Linked DNA regions of Neodiprion lecontei. The protein of the gene in region 1 purifies or fractionates together with the protein of each later gene. This does not show direct contact. Links are inferred from orthologs where the notes say so. Each region holds a gene or a part of one and is shown on either strand. Other genes may lie near its edges.

The links.
Region 2: the proteins of stress-induced-phosphoprotein 1 (region 1) and ATP-citrate synthase fractionate together in Homo sapiens (co-fractionation; 3 studies listed by BioGRID, with this or other methods). This does not show direct contact. The link is inferred for Neodiprion lecontei from reciprocal best matches to the Homo sapiens genes STIP1 and ACLY.

What each region holds. Positions count from the first base shown.
Region 1 is NC_060262.1:38,142,512-38,153,733, reverse strand, and holds stress-induced-phosphoprotein 1, read left to right. Parts: upstream 1-4,393; 5' UTR 4,394-4,535; coding exon 4,536-4,544; intron 4,545-5,011; coding exon 5,012-6,555; intron 6,556-6,756; coding exon 6,757-6,829; 3' UTR 6,830-7,250; downstream 7,251-11,222. UniProt on the Homo sapiens protein: Acts as a co-chaperone for HSP90AA1. Mediates the association of the molecular chaperones HSPA8/HSC70 and HSP90.
Region 2 is NC_060263.1:14,397,491-14,407,981, forward strand, and holds the start of ATP-citrate synthase, read left to right. Parts: upstream 1-5,278; 5' UTR 5,279-5,417; intron 5,418-5,473; exon of another isoform or gene 5,474-5,652; intron 5,653-6,157; exon of another isoform or gene 6,158-6,262; intron 6,263-10,491. Other genes in the region: serine/threonine-protein kinase 16, read left to right, coding at 1-170, 264-418, 535-669, 765-881. UniProt on the Homo sapiens protein: Catalyzes the cleavage of citrate into oxaloacetate and acetyl-CoA, the latter serving as common substrate in multiple biochemical reactions in protein, carbohydrate and lipid metabolism.

The DNA of each region.
Region 1 (11,222 bases):
AAAACAATAAATCGGAGACCCTAGAAATAGTCATCAAAGCAACACTAAATGCCTTTCACAAAGATTGAACCTTAATTCGCATTACGGTTCTTTATTTTTGTTAACATTCCGAAAGTATATTACGTCTGTCAGAAAACAATCAGGGTGAAACGTGACGGCATCCGTGTTTTCCCAACTTGTCAAAGTTATCTCATACTGGTCCGTTTAAATCATTCTTCGATAGTATCCACTTAACGAGTTCTTCATTAATTCATTCCCGGAACCAAGACTGGAAAGTTCGATAACGCTTAAGTGATCCCAGTTAAGGAGCCGTCCATAAACTATGTCACCACTTTTCAACTTATTTAGACAACCCTAGATTTTAATCCGACCCCCTAAAGTAACGTTACGTTTTCGACGCAAGTTTTATTTTCAAATTCAAATAACATCAATAATAAAACCTTGTCAGAAAAATTAAAATTTCTCATTTTCGAAAGGTAACGTTACTTCGGAGGTCCCCCCCCCACAAACCGGTAACTTAATTTGTGGATCACTTTCAGCCGTCAATTTTTTTCGGATCCAACAAGTCTGCCTCTGTTTCTCTCTCTGCACACTAAGCGATTTCCACGAAGCGTTTATCCATATGGATGGGAATAAAAGTTGTCTCAGATTGTTCTGGCATAGATGAACCGAAAACTGGTATTCGCCGGATCAACTTAGCGCCGCAGCACACATCAGGGTATATTCGCGAAGGCAGTGCGAGGGGTATATATATTTCCATCTCATAGAGACACGTCGCAGACGTTCGCCAGCGGTCTTTTATCACTGTTTGCTCTTTTTTGGGGAAGTTTGCTCTACTCCTCATTCTCTACTTTAGGCTTTGCCGGATTAGTCACGTGGATAAGGTGCCGTACCTACAAGTCCCCGGTATGTATATTTGGCCGAAGTCCCAGCGTGCCTTGGAGGATGCGTGTGCATCCTCCATCTCGACGTCTGGGAAGAACGTCTTTCCCCTGCACGCTTTATCTCTACGTGCTTATTGTATTTATATCCGTACGGTTGTACAAGCACACGGTTTTTCGTTGCCTATAAATACCTGCCACCGTTTTATTTGCTCCAAATGCCTACGCGTGCAGTAGACCGAGTTTAACTTGACGTTACGCATGAGGTCCGAACTCCAGACCCCTGCGTCATCGTCTGATCCCGGATTTTTATCAAAATCCGGAATTTCGTCTAATGAAATTATTCGGATACTGACTTGCATTAGGTACTGTTCGTGAAACCGGTATGACAACGATGCTCCGACAACAAGCGCACCGGAACTTGATGCGAAAATTTGGCAAGTATCGAGATCCTGGTTGAGCTACGTACATGGGAATATGGATGACTGGATGTGAGGCAATTTCAAAAAGAATGTCAAAAGTAAAGCCCGCTGATGGTGCATTTGTACCGACATTGCGGTCGTACGACCTTTCGCGTATTACGCAACACGAATAATGCGAGCGAACACGGCAAAACCGTTCCGAGAAACTCATGAATAATTAGAATTATTGATGCTGTAAGTTTTATGCCTTCAACGTCTCGCGTTAACTGGGTAATATAATTTTTAACGCTTGTAACGACGGGTCTTTACGGCCTATGAGGAAACAGTGGATGATGTATAATTAATCGCACTCGTCAATATGATACGAAACTTTCTTCTTATCAACTTCAGATCTCGACAACATCCGCAGTGCAGCGTTCAATTACCTTGCCCGCACAACAACGAAAGGTATAAAAATAAATGGAAAAAGAAGCTTCTGGCAATGAACCCTGCGGCCTGCGAGTAGATGATACGCGTATAATTCGAAGCAGATTTACCGCCGGAGAGATCGAAGACGCGTACCTTTATTATACAGCCATTGTAATTTATACACCTTTCTTTCCGCAGTTCTCGATCACGAGCTTGCGGCTGCGGCTTTTCGCTTCGCGAGGCTCTCTAGAATCGCAGCCAGCGCGTTCGTTGTACACGGTTCGAGGTTCCATTCGGTGGGACTGGGATTCCCCAGTAGCCCCTGGGAATTCCAACGCAGGCGCGTTGAAAATGCCGCATCTAGAACTGACGATGAGTTGGACAGTACGGTATACGTGTAAAACCAGTTTCAACGATACAGGCGGCTGACAAAAAGTTCTTATGCGTATACCGGCCGTAAAAGGAGAAATCATTGGGTCGAGAGAGGGCCTAGATCGCGGATATCGCGATCAGCTGATCGATTAACGCATGCACAACATCCTACGAATCCGGCGACTGACCAAGTAAATTTCTGTTTAAAATTTATCCCCTCCTATTTGACCGCAAAATATCGAGGGACCACGGATTGCGGTTCTGGTATAATATCTCCGATGCAGACTATTCGGCTGTTAGCGCGCCATTGCTATGTGGAGCAATTCGGTCAGTGGGGAATTAAGCTGACGTGCTTCAGGGCGATAATCGAGTGATCAGGAATTTTTACCGATAATAGAAGCCGGCGACGTCGCATGTTTTGCTTGTCACGTATATGTAACGTATTATAGTACAGACCTACCCACGAAGTAGGTGCATGAGGAAATAGTTTGAATTGGGTATAAGGTATAGAGCGAGTATAAAACCGGCGAGTGATTGCGCGTAAATCGAGAGACGGGAATTTATTACATCATTTCCAAAAATGGAGGTGCTTTTGTTTTCGGCGTGAGGCGCTTACGGTCAGCAGATGCATTCTGCTTGCCTTTCATAACATACGTAACTTTTAATACAATAACAAAGCGGAAAAACCGCACAACACGTTGGAGTTTTCGATGACGAAATGCGTTAGACGGTTCCACGTTTCCGTGAATTTCTCCTCGCATCTGTAATATATTTATTGTAACTCTTCACGTGTCTCCGGTAAACTATTTTCACTTTCGCGTATGACGCGCGATAACGCCGTGAAAGACGAGTGTGTCGGTGCATACATGAGGCATCTGCCGAAATTATATGCACAGAGCCGTTCTCGACGTTAATAAATACGACGAGCTTAACGCTAAAGAATTACAATATACTTTCTCACCGCGGTACGGAATAACATCCGGTCAATTATAATTATAGCTCTGTAATGCGCGAAAATAAACGGGCCTTCGTGTTTGTACGAAATTAGCATGAACCGTTGGAGGGTCGAAAGCTGATATACCTGAATATGTTAGAGTAATTTATCGGCAGACATGAAATATGGATACATGAAAGTTGCGCAAATGACCCGATGACAAATACTTTTTGACAACATTGAAGTCCAGCATTGTGTCATCGGAATGAGTACAAGAATTTTGTAGGGATACCATCAGTGAACGTTACTTCTGTCATTGCGTACAGGATGTTTCTGGAAATTCTTGTGAGTTTTTCCTTTAGGTGTATCGGTATGAAGACAGAGGTGGGGCTAAAATGTAGACGGACTAGAAAATAGAAAGGTCGCAATACCGAATTTGTAAGAAGCTGAAAATTTGTTTCACAGAATTTTAACCAGTAGAAAGTTGAAATATAGTAAAGTCAAAACGTGAAAAGGTTTAAAGTATGGGAAACCAATACATGGAATCCTGACACTTCTAGATTTGAAACTCTACGAAATAAATGTTGATATTTTTCAAAATTCGCTGTTGTGACTCTTCCATTTTCTGATATTTCTCTCGATTTTTACCCCCACTCTATTATCTGTAATTCCTCCACGTCTTAAATTGTCCTCACAATTATTAGACAGAGGCAAACTGTATATATAATTTGTACGGGAAAACTGTGATACACACCATGGTACCTCGGAAAATATACAGCCACGAAAGAAAGGTAGCGATTGATTTACAGTCAATCGTGACCTGACATACGAGCTGAATAAATCTAGTTACAAATTCAGATGGCACAGCACTGCCTGAACGGTGAGAGGGATTAATACGTTTAGTTCACATTTTATTTTTGACCTGACGTAACATTTCGTGACAAGTCAAACGGTAAACCGTACATCAGAAATCATTAACGAATAACAACAACACATTCCAATCTGATTATTTCTCTCCTGAACGCGAGAATTTTTTTTTTTTTTTTTTGGACGTATACAATCATTTTAAGACATCTTAGAGATTAGATATGAAAATCTGTTTGAAATGATAGAATAATCCTTTTTTAATCATAGTCTGTTTATTTTTCAGAATTGGCATGAGAATGAGAGAACTGCAATGAAACTTTTTTAAATCACGCGCGTCAGGGACATCAGTCGGTACTGTTATTTGCGGTCGGTAAGACTGCTCCACCGAGGATCGCGTGAACGATGGTAACCCGCGCAATAATGGCTACCGAGTGCTCTACTCAAGGATGTGCTAAATCATCGCTATTTTGCGCATGTTCTGGTTCGTTCGATGGGCGCACGGCGCCAGCGGCGGTCCTCGTATGCCAAACAAGAATACTTCCAGAGCTTTCTGCCTAAATCGTCGAAGCATTCGAAGCGGCGCACAGGGAAAGAGTCAGACAGTTTTGATCGACGCGAGCGAACCTTAAGCGCACGGAAGTCACCGGCGTAATGGAAAAGGTAAAGTAAATAATTACGAGCGTAATTAATTTCCCAAAATTGCACAATCCGATCATTCGTAAATGTTTTCAAGGATACCTCTTCATTTTTCGCCGTAATTTCTCCGACGCACAAGATATATAACTACGCTCTCCGTCCTCACGATGCACGCGTTCGGGCTACGTCGTCGACCGTTGAAGCTCACGCGGCTTTGCAATCATTCCATTGTTACAAACGTTTTGTTTATTCCGTAATTTGTTTATCCGTTCCTTTGTCGATCGGCTAAATAGTCATTCACGTTGTCGCTGCGAATAAATTTATCCAAAAGCTCTCCGTTTTCCCGTATTTTTGCGACTGTTATTTGATAAAACGGTGATAGCATGACCATTACCGTGGTAAAAATGCTACTCCTACGTCAGTTTTGAACAACATTTTGTATTTTTTTCACTCCTGACAATAACCTCTGCAATGTTTGATTATCGCTCTAGGTGTCAGCACTGAAAGACAAAGGCAACGCCGCGCTGCAAGAAGGTAAATATGATGAAGCGGTCAAGTATTACACTGAGGCAATCGCCTTGGACGGTAGCAACCACGTATTGTATAGCAACAGATCGGCTGCTTATGCCAAAGCTGAAAAGTACGAGCAGGCGCTAGACGATGCTGCGAAAACAGTAGAGCTAAAGCCTGACTGGGTTAAGGGCTACTCCAGAAAGGGTAGCGCCCTCGCGTACCTCGGTAGATTGGACGAATCGATAAAGGCTTACGAAGAGGGTCTCAAATTAGACCCTGATAATCAGCAGTTGAGGGAGGGCTTGTCCGAAGTGCAGGCGCAGAGGAGTGACGCAAATCCCTTCAACGCCCCAGATATTTTCGTAAAATTGCGCAGCGATCCAAGGACTAGAGCGTACCTCGATGACCCCGAGTATGTCAAACTGATCCAGGAGCTCAGAAGTAACCCCAGGGTTCTAGGCGCTAGGTTGCAAGATAATCGAGTACTTACGACTTTGAGCGTACTTCTTGGACTGAATCCTGGAGACATGGACGAGCCTATGGATGTCGACCCTCCAAAGCCTACGAGAGAGACTTCGCAGCCTACACAGGAAGCAAAACCCGAGAAAAAAGAGGATGAGAATCTTCCTGAAGAGAAGAAGGCAGCCAAACGAGAAAAAGAGTTGGGAAACGAAGCATATAAGAAGAAAAACTTCGAGGCCGCCTTGGAACATTATAATAAAGCCATCGAGCTTGACCCTACGGATATTACGTATCGAAACAATGTCGCAGCAGTTTACTTTGAGCAAAAAGAGTACCAAAAATGTATAGAACAATGCGAACAGGCCATTGAAGTTGGTCGGGAAAATAGGGCGGATTTTAAACTTATAGCGAAGGCGTTCACTCGAATTGGGAATGCCTATAAGAAATTAGAGAATTGGAAACAAGCTAAAGTTTATTACGAAAAATCTATGTCCGAGCACAGAACACCCGAGATTAAAACCCTCCTGTCCGATATCGATAAGAAAATTAAGGAGCAGGAGAGAAAAGCTTATATTGACCCGATCAAAGCTGAGGAAGAAAAAGAACTTGGCAACCAAAAGTTTAAGGACGGAGATTACGTTGGAGCAGTAAAACACTACTCAGAAGCCATTTTGAGAAACCCTGATGAGCCAAAATATTACAGTAACAGAGCAGCCTGTTATACTAAACTTGTAGCTTTTGACTTGGGGCTAAAAGACTGTGAGAAGTGCGTAGAAATTGACCCAAAATTCATCAAGGGATGGATAAGAAAGGGTAAAATCCTCCAAGGAATGCAGCAGCAAGGAAAAGCTCTGTCCGCTTATCAGAAAGCATTAGAAATAGACCCATCCAATAGCGAAGCGCTTGATGGCTACCGGTCCTGTACCGTCGCTGTTAGCTCCAATCCCGAGGAAGTCAGAAAGAGAGCCATGGCTGACCCGGAGGTTCAGAACATCCTCAGAGATCCTGCGATGCGTTTGATTCTTGAGCAAATGCAGAGCGATCCAAAAGCACTCCAAGAGTAAGTTTATTGTTATTTGCATAACCCATAGTTAATGATCTCAATTAATCTGGTTCAGAAAAGATGAATGTAGTGTAGAATCACGCTTCTTTCGATGACAGCTATACACCTTGCTGAAGGTATACCATAGTACAAAATTCTCATGCGTAATTCTGTGATAATTTAGTTCATTTTAGTAATTCTTTCTTTAATCCTTTGCAGCCATCTGAAAAATCCTGACATTGCGGCAAAAATACAAAAGCTTCTTGAATCCGGACTTGTAGCAATACATTGAAAAAGACAGGGGAATGGAACAGCCAACAATATCTATAAGAATTTACCAGCTGTACCCGCCTTAGAAGATAACAACGTAATACAATATAACATTCTATCATCGCTGTGTTCCTTCATTACGATGAAGACGGCTTTACATTTAGTTAATGATACGTTAATTTTACAATTTTTATCGTATTCTACATACAATTGGGTGAATGAGGTTTTCGACTCCAGCGAGTGCTTGCCTTTGCTGTTTTGTCTATTATATTGTATTGTGATGCGATTTGCTAGTCAAATCGGTCAAATACCTTTTCTCGATTTTTCAGAAAAATCTGCAAATACGAATTACGAATTTCCCAATGTCTGAAATTGGGCAAGTTTTTTGTATCGGTAAATAATTGAGCTAAAAGGAATAATAAATATTGTCGCATTGTACTTTACTACGAATAGTTTTATTTACTATATTGCTAAATTCGTTCCAAAGTTTACATATTTCCGTGTATAAATTATGTACCCCAAGATGGTACCATGCTGTCTATAAATTGTAATTTTACTTATCTCTTTCAAGTATTCCTGTATTTATTTTATTATTCTTTTCAACCTCGTTGCATAATTTTTCGTCTTCTCCACGTAAACTCGCAAGTGGTAGACTTTTTATATGTTGATGGGTATGCATACAAGCAATCTATCGGGTGACGACTAACCAAATGATGAGTAAGGATATTACAGGAAAGAGAAAAGGAAAAAATAAATAAATACTAATTATGTGAAAAACGGAAAATATACTATGAAATAGTTCATAACGTATCTAATAATAAAAATAAGACAAAAAAATTTTAATTTACTAGCCCATGAAGGCAAGTTCTGTAACGCATACGCTACATTTGGCATTAACATCCGATTCCTCCATCACCTGAATACATGTTGCGAGGGGAGACAAAAAGTGTCGTGTTTCAAGATAATCGAGGAATCAGGTGTAAATACCAGGTGATCTTTCCAAATTTTAACATGAAACTTCAACAGGAAAAGCCATCATATTCATCGTCGTACGTAGCCATTTTTTTTTTTTTTTTTTTTTAGGCAAATATTGATTGCGATACTTTATCTTGAATTGTGCTGAAAAGTAAAGTACAACCGCTTATTATTTATTCCAATAAAGATAATAAATATAAATACATAATGTAAACATACTACATGCATATATAACAACATTATCTATATCTATTGATAATTAAAATATTGTATACACATATTTGTTCTTATTATGCCTCTGATCTTGTAAATGCGTTGCATTGTGTTGTCAAAATATAGCATAGGCAAAAATAGCATGCAATTGCCAAAAATAAATGCAGAAATTGCGTTCTCTTTGCAGAGTTGATCTTACGGTATGACGTCCCATTTCGGAGTTTCGGGGGACTCCGTTAGTGCAGCAAGGCGAGCGATAAGGCCCTGAATACCTTATCATCATCTTTACATACATGCCCTACCAATTGGAATCATCCTGAAACGCCGTCGATGAATTTACAAAACAAGGTCAGCCCGACCGAGATAAAACAGTGGTTTCTTGCATGCCTAAAACGTGCGGAAACGTTTTGCGAGCATGGCAATTTCCTCTTCGACTCAAAATATCAGTCCTTGACCGAAGGCTATCAAAGACGGTTACCCTAATGGGGTATTCGTGCGATGATGGGATTGCGTGTTGAACGCCTCCCGCCGATAAAGAAGCTACCGTATCGTTTTAAACACGGCTTCTCAACGCCTCAGGCCCACTTACCTGCCGATCAATGGTCACGAAAATATGCCCCTGGGATAACAGTCTAAGTTTTTTCGTCAACCTCGTAATTATCAGCGACGTTGAACACCCAGAGAATGCCTACATAAATCAATCGAACCAGTCAATCAGTTTCCCGTTTCACAACGGAGTCGCCAGACATCGTCGAGATCCGCGAACGACTAGCTGCTGCAGCTGCTGCAGTAGCTGCAGTAGCTGAATGCGGTTTGCGGGGAGGGTCTGAAGCAAGCGCAACCCGTGCGGATATTCGATTAGCCAGAGAAGAGCCGAATGAGATGTGAAAAGGGGGGATTCGATCGCGTTGTAATGAGAATTGGTGCGAGCGCGGCGCACACGCGATTGTCGAGTGACGTGCGTCGGCGGTGCGCGCGTGTCGTCGACCGTTGGGTTAGTGGTTGGGATCGCCTCTGTTCTCGGTCACCGGGGGCGCCGGTAGCTCTGGCTATGGCTCTGCCTGTTTGAGCCTTCGAGCAGCGGCGGCGGCAGCATCAGCAGGCAGTCGAGGCAGTGACGCGCGTCGCCCGTAAACACGGCCGCCATAATGCTATGCGACATCATGGACGGTGGTGTGTAAACATTAGTGACAAATAACGTGCTCAAAAATGTGAATCGTTTCCCGAACTTCCGTTTCAGCAACGCGGGTGTTTAATCGTGCGTGTCGGCCAGTACTCCACAGCGCGCACCAGTCTCGCCGAACTCGGCCAGCAATTACGACCGTCGTCTTGCTCGATACCGCGGGTTAATCTTGTGCTTGTGCCCCTCGCGAGCCTGCTAGCCTCGCGAGGAGTAGTCGGTTCGTTCCTTCGACCGAGAGAGCCTAGCGCCGTCCACTGCATGCATGCCCACATTGGCGTGGGGCAGCGGCGACTGATTTCACACAATATCGGCCAGTCTGACGGACGGGGAGCGAATTCCGCCGATAGCCGAGGCGCATCGTATCGCCTACCTGCCTCGCTCGATCCGCACGAGAGTTTAGATCGATTCCGGGGGATTATCGAGCCTGCGTCGATCCTCGTTACGAAATACACGCATATACACGAAGTGAGTGATTTTATTCCCCGGCGTTGTTTTGTTTCGCATCCTTCTTTTTTCTATTTTTTTGTTTGATTCTTCTCATTTCAATATTACTTTACCTTCGCCGCAACTTACTTAACTTTGCGTTTACTTTTGCAATTTTTCTCACTATTCGCTTCTTCTTACATTCTTCTTCTTTTTATTTTCAATCGCCCTTAAAGCAGGGGATCGTCGGATCCTGAGGAGAACGTTGGGAGATTTACGCTACGAGTAACCGCCAACAAACAACAAACGCTCGCCGCACGCACTCTGACTCGTTGCAATTGACAGTGACGTATCTTTACTCGAGGTGCTTCTCGGAACCCCGTCCTTTCGCCAACTTAATCGTCGAAGGAGAAAAACCAGCAACTCGCATTCGCGGAGAGAACGTGAGTAAATGTTACATGTCACGAATTGCCACACAACTCGATTCATTCATACATTCATTCTCTTACGTAGAATATTCCACAGGGTTGTCGTTGTTGTTGTTGTTTTTTTTATCTTTTTTTTCTTTCTTTCTCCGTCGAAGTGTAAATTTATTTCAATTTTTCGTCCCAACAAGTTTCTAAGTGCTATCACTTTCACCCTGCAACGTATATAATATGTATCCGAACAATGAAACGATGCAAATTACATTGGTATACATCTCGAAACTAATTACCGATTTCCGAATGCTAAGAACAAATATCCACGTCCCTCGAATCGGATAATTCCAATATGAATTTTAAAGCCTGTCACTTGTTTTTTCAATTTGTGTCTTACGCTTTTTCATGTTTATTTATTCTCGCTGACCAAATCTTTTACCTCCGAGATCTGACCGTCTTGACCCACGATTTCACCCTGCACGCGGTACAGATTAGGTATGGAATAATTAATTGATTAACCAATTAAGAAACAGTTTCTTTTTCTGTGATTCGATAATTTTATTGTTTACTTTTCAATTTTCACACACGTACCGAAGTATACACGCGAACAACTCGTTACCGCGATTTATCAAACGTACACAACATCCGTGTAATTGGTTTTTTTATAATACGTAAAATTAAATTTCTTTATCGTTCGCAACAGTCTGCCACTATTATATGTACATTACATGTATAAGTATGTATAATTTACAGAACAGCGAGAGAGGGAGAGAAAGAGAAAAAGAGACTCGCGCGACGGATCAAAGAGGGGTGAGGGTAGGGCGGCGATCGCAATAATAATAGAATAAATAAAGAAATTCGATTGAAAGAAATATTCTCGGAACTGTAGTGCCGCTCTGCTCTGCTCTGCCACTTGCCCCGGGTAGTGATTATATATATATAAAATATATATATATGCATATACACTTACACACGTATGCATATACATATATGTACCGTGGTGGTGCAGCAATGGAGAAGGAAGGAAGGAAAAACTGATCGACGAACACGTGTTAATTCGTATACGAAAGCAGCGGGAGTTCGTTTTCAAGTCTCATTTAAGCCGCGTTGTATTACACGCAATAGGGTTCAGACCCCATAGCTCTATGGCGTAAAGTTACGGGGGCGACAAGCGAGTCGTTTCTATCACTTTCGCGTTTTTG
Region 2 (10,491 bases), on another chromosome or scaffold:
AAAATCATCCGACTACATGAATCCTAACGAAATTCTTGAGATATTTTTACAAATATGTGACGGAGTCAAGGCGTTCCATGAAGCTAAGCCCGAGCCTTTAGCGCACAGGGATTTGAAAACTGCAAACATTGTTCTTGGCGAAGGGCTTACCCCAGTGATTATGGATTTGGGTAAACTTTCTCTTGCATCATAATAGATAATACAGATATAATTTCACCGGATTGTTATGGTTGTAGCCATGTTTTTCAATAATAATTTTGTAGGATCAGTAGCACAAGCCCGGATCAAAGTATGCGGAGCACATACGGCGCAAACATTACAGGACGTTGCCGCTGAAAGGTGCTCGATGCCTTATAGAGCACCAGAATTATTTAATGTAGACAGTTATTGTATGATTGATGAGAGGACGGATATTTGGGTACGTTACTATTATATAATGTTATATTCAAGAAAACATGTACTATCCAAATTCACTTGGCTTATTACGAATATTAGAGTAAATAATTCAAGTTGAGACGTTCATTTTTGTTATAGTCGCTTGGCTGTATTTTGTATGCACTTTGTTATTTCAAATCACCATTTGATACCGTGTATGAGCGAGGGGACAGTGTAGCGTTGGCTGTGATGAGCGCTAATATTTCATTCCCTGAAAGTGCCCCATACAATGAGGTAACTGATTAACCGACTGAAATAATATTTTAACAAAAGTACTGTTAACTTCGTAGTGTGTTTTTGTAATGGCTCGTTTATGGTCCTTGTTGCAGGATATTCAGCAATTAATTCTTTCGATGTTGAAAGCTAATCCAATGGAAAGACCTTACATCTATAGCGTTATTGAACACGCACACGACGTTTTGGCAAAACTAGAGGGCAGGGTCTAATCCTTATTGAAGACTATGCCAACTAATTTTCCTGTAAATGATTGCAATGACGATGGATTACTTGGATATTTTCCTAAAAAGAATAACGAAAATTAAAATTTTCAAATTCGGTAAAGACTAAACGAACATCCAGGATATCTTATTCCAACAACGTTGGACAGTAACCAAGAATTGATCAAACTGACGATTCAGTTACGGATATTCGATCAGTACGGTCCAATTCATGCCTGAGATGAATGAATGTACTATAAATATCATTAAGAATGTTATTCCTGTTCATGATCACAGAGCGATGAAACTGTCGGAGAGTTAAATCAATTATTGAACGGAAAATATTTTATTATAATATTTAAAATATCACAAAATCGAAAAAATAAGATTGGTTAATGTAGTACACACATTCCATGCTGTAAGATTCATTGAGCGATATATATTATGTAATATAATATAGTTGATAAACATATTTTAATATATAATTCCGAGAAAAAAAATATCATTCTTTGAAGCAATTTACGATTAGCGTCCTTTCGCCAGTTTAATTTATAACGGATGAAAGATCATCAGACATTTTAGAAACTGTTCGTGTAAGTTCAGTTATCGTGGAAGCTTAAAACATATACTATAGGAGGTAGCCACGCATGTACAATAAGTGTGGCGGAGGGGTAAGGGAGAGAGATGCCATTATATCCTGTTTCTCTCGCTCTGTACCGGATTCGTCGATACGTTTCCTCTCAGCCATTCGAATGCAAAGTGAGAGAGACGGAGTATTCCTAGTATATATCTCCTCTCATCACTTCGGTTTCAGTTTTCGCTAGTTTGACGCAGCCCCCTGAAACACGCTGCTAAAAGTGGTTCGCAAGATGTCCCTCGATTCTGCCGCCAATTTCCACTACTAGTAGCGCTAGTAGTTACCTGACGAGCTTGCACGCGGTCAGCAAGGGCAGCGAGCGTGTCAGAAGTCAACTAGCGCCGGGTAGAGGAACTAAAAAACTGGGACAAAACGCGTACAATTTTTTAGTATACGAGCAGTGGTGAGTGTCCACTTGAGTGTCAGGGGGCTGGGTTGACGGCATGGGTGGCAGCTACCTACAGTAATATCTGAGGATGAAAGTCTCCAAACGCTGCGTAATAGTTAGACAGAGTTCGATAAGTCAAGCATTTTCGATCTTAAGAAGTCTACTATCTTGTTGGGCAGGTAGTCAATGACGGTGTCATGGAGACTAGAGGTAAGGATCCGAACGCAATGCTAGCAAAATGACTGTGAAAGTGATGAACGATCCGCAGGATGTACCTGACTGGCAGCGCTACCACTGCGGGCTCCGTCAGCGCGGTGATCATGAAGCCTAGAGTAAAGGAGCCCGAACGCCTATAGGAAAAGTATTGTTACAAAGGGTGAAATCACCCGTTTTGCTCACTTTTAATGATCTAGTAGTCATCATAGATAAAAGACGTTTATAAACCTCTTATGTCTTTAAAAAGAATAAGGTTGCTGCGTCAACCAACATTATTGTAAAAACAGTCTTGTTTCAGATTTAAAACCAGAAACACGTACCCTGCAATTAAAGCTTTTACATGACATGTATTTACGCCTTTGATTTTGGCTTGATAATCAAACTCACGAAACCATATTTATTTCCGTAACGTCCAAGAACGTTACAGTATTATAAACGTAGACCCTGAAAGTGGTGAAAATTTGGGTTCGAAATGCAGCCACGGGAAACGCTAGTGCTGCGAAGATAGGAGATGGGTTTGCGTATATACGACCGTGATTTACACGTCATTCTTGGCTTTTCGTCTTTGCACGTATAAACGAGTTTTGCAAAGATTTTCTTATTGTGATAAAAATCAGCGTCTTAAGGTGTAGTGAGTGATTGCCCCACATTATGTCTAAGCAGGTGAGAAAATGGTATTTTTTTTAAATACATATGCTATTTTCAATACTTTATTAAATTGTAATTTACGGATTGAATAAAACGAGCATGAAAGTGAGGTTAAAATTCATATATTGTCATGTGTAATCACAAATTTTATTTTGAGTTTATTTCTGGTAGCAGAGTGCACAATGGGGAAATATTGTTCTTACCCAGGCTGCTGAACTGGGAGAGATGCCAGCAGAGCAAACTGCAAGCGCTTAGGACGACGGCAGCACAATGATAGCATAAGAAGACGCATCGCCAGTATTCTCGTACAGATGGCCTCGCTGCACAAGACAATATTTCCACCAGGCAGAACGAACGCTCAGTATTACGAGGAGCTCGAGGCCGAACAAAAGCTGTTCAATAAGATGGGCGAGTTTCTTGTCGATCACCGATGGTCGAAGGGATGTTTTCGAGAGCAGCACGTCGCAGGTGTTCAAGAGCTCGACCGATCGGAATGTCGTCTCGAGCGGTATACCGAGTGTGTGGAAATCGACTGATCATCTGTGCATCCTGTGATGCAACCAATTGGTCCAGATGAACCTTCGCGCGCTTTTTGACTGTGTGGATATGAAAACTCGTCCGCCTAATATAACTTACGACTCAGAACGGAAAATTCGTGCCCATGATTGTTATTTCCGAAGCGTAAGTTGATCGTTGAGAATTTTTGGAGATTCTTTACAAGCTTGTACAATCGTAACGTGATGTTACAATATTTCCAGCGTACATTCGAAAAAAAGTCTTCCATACGAGGACAAGACGAAATTCGAGCCCGGAAGCGAATGGATCAAAGACATCATTAGACAATACATTTGGAGTCGGAAAGCCGTTTTTCAATTAGAACATATCACTGATTGAATTTGGTTTCATAGATTTTTTCAAAAAATTGTCACTCGAGAACGGGATGGAAAAGAAAAATGTAAAAAAATATGGTAGCCTTTACTAATATGAGTGAACGGCATACAAAATTTCGAGTCGAATCGAAAAGGGTGAGGGTCGGAGCCTGGTCGAATTCGGGTGGAATGCTCCATATAAATTATTCACTGAGAAACCATTAGTTTCATCGTGTTGAGTAGAAGAACAATTGAGTTCGTCGGGCCATCCGGAGCTGGACAATTCATGATAATGCGGTAATTGTCGAGGGTCTGCGATGAAAATTTCGCTCTTGGATGAACTTCGATTTAGGTGAAAATCGATTTATTTACACCAGTCCGCAGTTTATCGCATTGTTAATATTATTTATTGTTAAAAAATGTTTGTTTTGTTGTTTGAAAATGTTTGTTTCCTATCTGTACGAAAAAACATTCCTATTGTGCAGTAAATAATAATTTTTTAATAAAATTGTTATGTTTTGTCGTTTAAAAATTTTTGTTTCCTATCTGTATGAAAAAGGACATTCCTATTGTACACTAAATAATAACTATTCGCACTTTTTGTTGTTGTTTTTTAATTCATTTGGATTTGACGCGTAGTGTATAAAAATAATTTTTAATAATAAATATTTCTAGGGTTTAGGTCAACTCGACTTTGAATTATGCCCAAAAATATTATCTAGTTAACAAATGCATGATGACAGAATTAATTGACAAACGAACAATTTACTGTTTTTCTCATCTGTTTACGTATAACTGCGCTACGAATATGAATATTCTCTTCTCTCTTTTTTCTCATTCCGTCTCTGTCATCCTCTCTTGGGTACAGCAGCGCCAGCGGGTATTTCAGTAAAAATTTTCACTGCTTTCGTAGCCCACGTCCGCAGTACAGCGTTCGGGGCTCCATGGCGGTGATTTTGAATTGTCGATCCTCACGTATGTATCCTATTCACGGTCTTACATACAGGTCTTGCGACTCAATAGAATTCCAATGGTAGAGAGTGGCTCCTCTGTTGAAGAAAAATCAGATGGAGCTGCGATCGAGGGATGCATCAACATAACCTACAATGTTTGAATAAGCCTTTGACACGTCTTATAATATGTAAATAAAATTTATGGGTTAGGATTCCACGCCCATGTGACGCGCGAGCGCGACTATCGTCATCCTTGTCGCACCGGGCATCCCTCGATCGCAGCGACGCTAGCGGCTTGACACGTTAAGAGGCCCACGTCGAAACTCAGAGTCGCAAGACCTGTATGTAAGACCGTGATCCTATTCGTAACCAGGCGCTGGTATCGCTTGCGGATACATCCCGAACTACAAAATCTTTCATCACTTTTACGGTCCACTTTTCGACGATTCCGCCCTATGCGTTCGGCCTCCTTACCTCTAGTCTCCATGGACGGTGTCGCCGACGTGTCGGCCATATTGAAGGCAACTGACGTTAATTGATAATAGATTTTCTCTTATTTCCCTTAGATTGAGCCAGTTACTTTTACTGGTGTCAACTCATTGCAAATGATGTAAAGCAGCTCTCAGAATCTATAAATCTCATCAATAAGGTTCGATCCGTGGTGTCTAGTCGGTGACAGCGTGGCAACTGTTCGTCTTCGGTGTTTCGCGATCGCGGGGCGCAGCGTTAAATCGTCCTTTCGCTCCCTGTCGGTTGTGTCGATGGATGTTTTCGTCGTCGGATTTCCAGTCGAATTTTGAATTACACGTTATTATCCGAGGCGCCTGTCAACTTGTGAGTAACATTATAGAATATTTCGTTCAATCCGACGAATTATAATCACGACTTACCTTCCAATATCTCGATAATATAGTTTTATTGTTCCTCGTCTTTATTACATCCGTATTGCAACAATGATGCCAATTGACAAGAGATGTTCAGCCAAACAACAGCAAGCGACGCACGACGGGATTGTATTTACTTGACAATTGTTCTTGTCGAGTATATAAACAACTAGGTTCTCTTCTTTCTATTAAAAAATTCGAACTTCTCGTAAAACTTGCGTCACAACTAACCTAAAAAATAGCGCAGAGATCTGATATTCATTCGTCATTTCAGTTTTGCTTCAATCAGTCATATCATTGTTTGCCTGCCCATTGCGAATTACAGTTGATGTGACCGCGGTGATTGAGATTACGTTCAATATCGATAATATATACTTTTTCAGCGTAATTAAAACCTGATTGAGCACGGGGTAGTTGCACAATCGGAATAATCAAATACGACTACTATCTGTCACGCCTGATTGATTGTAGTGTAGTGTAGACCAGTATTCCAGATAGGAAGATAAAACGGTTATGTCTTGCTATTTCTTTCATTTCGAAACAGGAATAACCTTGGCAGAAACGTAACCACCAATTCAATAAATATGCAATCGCGTTCAACGGGTTACGCAAGGTTTTTCACGTATTTCTAGTTCTTTTATTTATGCAACTTTTTCTCCCACCAGCTGGACTGCAGCCCGAATTGCTCACGTTATTTCGTGATTTAAAATCAAGCTCCTTCATAACCCATAAGAACAAGTGTTCCACGATTTTTGTATATTGCTGATGTAGACTTTACAAAATGTAGACTTAATGGTTGCTTACTTACTGATGTACACCAATTATGTACATCACGTCACGCGGTTTGTGAAAAATAATTAGCCAATGCTGTTCCTCATATTTATGCAAAGTTTCTCTCCGTTCAATATCGGTGGGGATTCAAAAATAGTCAAGTGACGAAGATGTTGGCTTATTACGTGACGTTTTGAAATAACAATCATGTGTTAAACGCGTCGTTTACGCTTAGGGGGGTGCCCTGGTCGGATTCGACGTTGACGTACCTATATATCTCCAAATATCATGCATTTCCATTCGTCGCAGAAATAAAGAAGTAGCATGAATTCAACGAATTTACCATTGCGATTTCATGGAATCCATGCCATTCCCGTATTTCTGCGTCAAATGAAAGTGGATTGGAGTGTTTTTGTTGAGAATTGTGTATAAAATTGGGACGTTATGCCCATTTTCACGTTTTAGGTACGTGGAGTTCGATATTTGCACGTACATACAACGTCGAAGTTGACTAGGGCACCCCCTTAAAGCAACCCCTAATACGAATAATACGTTTTCTACTTCGTTTTCATTATAGCATTTACATATTAAGCCGCACATAATTACTGTTTGCCCAATTATCGTCCGGTACCTGTACGCAATCCTTATTCGAATGAATGCGGCAATGTATATAAGAAGTACGGAGCAACGCTTCGAGTTTTGAATTCCTCGGTTATTGGTACGAAAAGTCGCGACGTTGGTCTCGAATAAATTCGCAACGTTAGTAGGCATATCATGCAATGTAGGTATATAATTACATGTATCAATGTAGGTACATGTATGTACCTAAACCGATGACACAATTTCGATATTTTTATACCCTATTTGTGTATAATTCGTTTCATCTACACCATTTCTATTAGCGTATGTATAAGCCTGCGTTTCGCGCTCTGCTCAAACTCAGAAGCCGTCGCATGACGCGTACGACGCACGTTGAATCTACGAGGAATCTATTTGACCTGAGTATTAAGCGTAGCCTGCGTGCGGATTATCTGTTATTCTCACATGACGCCGCAAATGCAAATTGATTTACGTAATACTCGCACTTTGACTCCGGACTAAACTCGCGAGACTCCAGGCTGATTGTCAATCGCGCGGTGGCAAAAAAACCGGGAGCCACGGGTTTGCCGCTTGCTTGTAGCGATAATATATCTATTTGCCAAAATAGCCAAGTTCCTCTCTGCAGCGGTTTTGGGCCTATCGGGATATTTTATTCTACGGATGTAATGCAGACACTGCACACGTTTGCCGAGGAGTTCTCCGAACGTAGACAAGTACTACTTAGTAGATATGATAGATCTGCTAAGTTTACATATTTCGTTTTCCGTCGTACACCTACTACAAAGAAACTCCGATCAATTAGCTAAGGGAATGCAGGAAGCCCATTATCTACTATTCTCTTCTACGCGTGAATTATCATCCTTAATGAATGAATAATGATTTAAACACGTTCCGACCTGGTTTATATGAAAATAAACTCTCATTCTTCAGTCGTGCGTTAGACATCTTTCGGTCCGCTCTTCGTTCGTTTGTGGTGGGTGGTGGGAAGCGAAAAAACAAAAAAATTATTATTTGCCGCCTGTTACACGTTTCCGCTATAAGTATACACGTTTTAAGGTAAAAAAAAACAAAAACTGCATAGCCGTAAATCGAATTAGAGAAACACATTTCCCTCCAATTCGTTTAAAATTTATGGGCCCCTTGGCCCAATATTTTAATATTTCTCGTCATTAGAGAGAGATTAAAAAAAAAAAAAAAAAACACTTGGTGCGTTTACGCCGTGCGACAGGAAGACGAGAGCCGAGTGATAGTGCAAATGTGGTCATAATGTCACAACGACGCCTCTTTCAGCAGACATAATTAGTCAAAGAATCATCGTAGTCATAGAATGTCCTTCGGCTATTGTTGTCGCGATGGTGTAAGTTATTTAAAAAATCAAATGTACGTTACTCGAAGAAAAACAAGCGAACATTTTCTCTCGCCTGTGAAGAACGAACGTACGAAACAGCGACGTGCAAGGCTCGTCATCAACCGTGACTATCACGTATTCATCACGGTTCGGTCACTCGTGTGTTAATGTCAAGCAGACGTCACGACCCCTCCATCAGCGAAACCATACACAGATAGTCGCCAATCGGGAATTGGTTTTCGTTTCCGAAGGAGGTTCTGTCCAAATATTGAAAACATCCTGTTCCTCGCAACTAAACATATAAAAAAATAATGATCGCACGACTATTTTTCCTCGCGGTGGCATAACTTTGTGAAAAATGGTCGTTATTTTTATCACGACTATTATCGCCGGCGGCCGCGAAGAATATTTTGAAATATGTTACGCTATTGTTGAGATAGGTCGTGACTAGATAATACATTTGTGTGCGTATGCGTGCGTGTGTGCGCGCATAACCGATTCTATAAGGCTTCACCTGCGGCTCTACTTGACTCGGCCTGTCCAATCGACTGGAAAATAACAGTTACAGTTTGAAATATTACGATAAGAATAACAGTTATACACGAAATTTCCTGCAGAAGTAAACATAAATAGGTTGATATTGTAATATCCGGAATATGAAGCTTCCGCGTTCGATACTTCGCGAATCCTTCACAGAATTGCTCACCGATTCTAATCCAACTTCTGCAACATTTACTCTATGACGACAACAAGTTTTACAGACCGCTGCATGAAGCTGAAACTAGCAGCCAAACGGTTAAACTTTTTGGAAATAGAAAAATGCAGTTCAGTCTTATCCTCGTAATTCTATAAAAGTATCGGAGGTTTAAGGTACTTCACTATCTTATTCAAATGAGCATTAGAACGTTTGGCCGCTAATTCTGGCTGGTAGTTTCAGTCTCGTGACCGCTGCTATCGATATAATGCAAATTGTGAAAATAGGTTACATCTAAGCCCTTGTGTAAATGCAAATTCTTTTCATTGCCCGGGTTTGTATGGCCAATGGCCACACGTAGGTATGTGTACACATAACGCACTTTTACAACCCCCCTCACATCAACTTCCAAAAAATGTACATGTAACACATACTACGGAGCGACGATGCGTTACGCAATGGACAAGGCGATTTGCAGTGTTAGCGACCGCCCCCTACGTAATGGTTAGAATATAACAAAATTGAAGTAGATAGGTATATGTGTACGCTATGCATATGAACTTGTCCGCCGGTGATAACAGTCCTGCCTACTTGTACACGCGTGGCCGTGGTGTGACTTTATCACCACGTGGTATAAACCTGCATATTTTATCGCGCTACTCCGCCTGATGTTCCCTCGTCAAATAATCGTTGCCGATTCAAGATATCGATACGAATTCGTATATTTCTATCGTATCCATGTGTGGTTAGAGAATATTTCTTGAAGCGACGCAGCTTATGCGTTATATTCACATTTTTAGGAGGGGGGGGGGGCTATCCGATAATAGATGTTGGTAACCGCAGGACGCAAAGCTCGCCCTCCTGCCCTTTCTGCAAATACGAAAATACTATACGAAAACTCTATTCTTCAATATCTATATGTAGTAAGAAGTATATACATATAGTATACAGTATAGTAAAAAGTTTTTAAGATTTTTTTCTCTTCCGATTATTATTTGCATTATTGGTATTTTTAAATGTCCGTAAAATTGTTCGAAATTCAATTAAATTCGTAGCGTTATACATACCTTATGTAGCAGTATTTAATTGTTATACAACTCGTTACATGACGTAAGCTTATCGTTAACCGTTTGAACGCTTATTTATCGAATATGTATAATATAGGTATCAACCGTAATTTCCCGTCCTACAATTGATTCAACGATGAGTCAACGACCTAATCTCCGTGCAATCATTTGTTTTGCACGCTTGTTTTTGCCACCGTCTCGCTATTTGCTAACGTTGCCGTGACATATTACACGGTAAATCCTACTAAAAATACATACAAGTCAAAACTAAATCTGCAACTTCCTTTTCATGAGCCGGTGACCTGGGTGCCTGGCCACGTGGCTTCGTTTCACGTTTCATTTAATAGTTAGTTCTCCCTTCCGAGATGGCTCGTTGGTCGTCATTTCCTACGACATACACATGTCATATTTCTTATACAAATACGGCCTAAACAACGTGTGTATTTCTATTAGTTTGTCCTTTCACTTCTCAACCTGTTTGTCGCTCTTCCGTTTATTACACGTATAATTTATACATATTATAAGTGTATTGTATTTTTTTTTT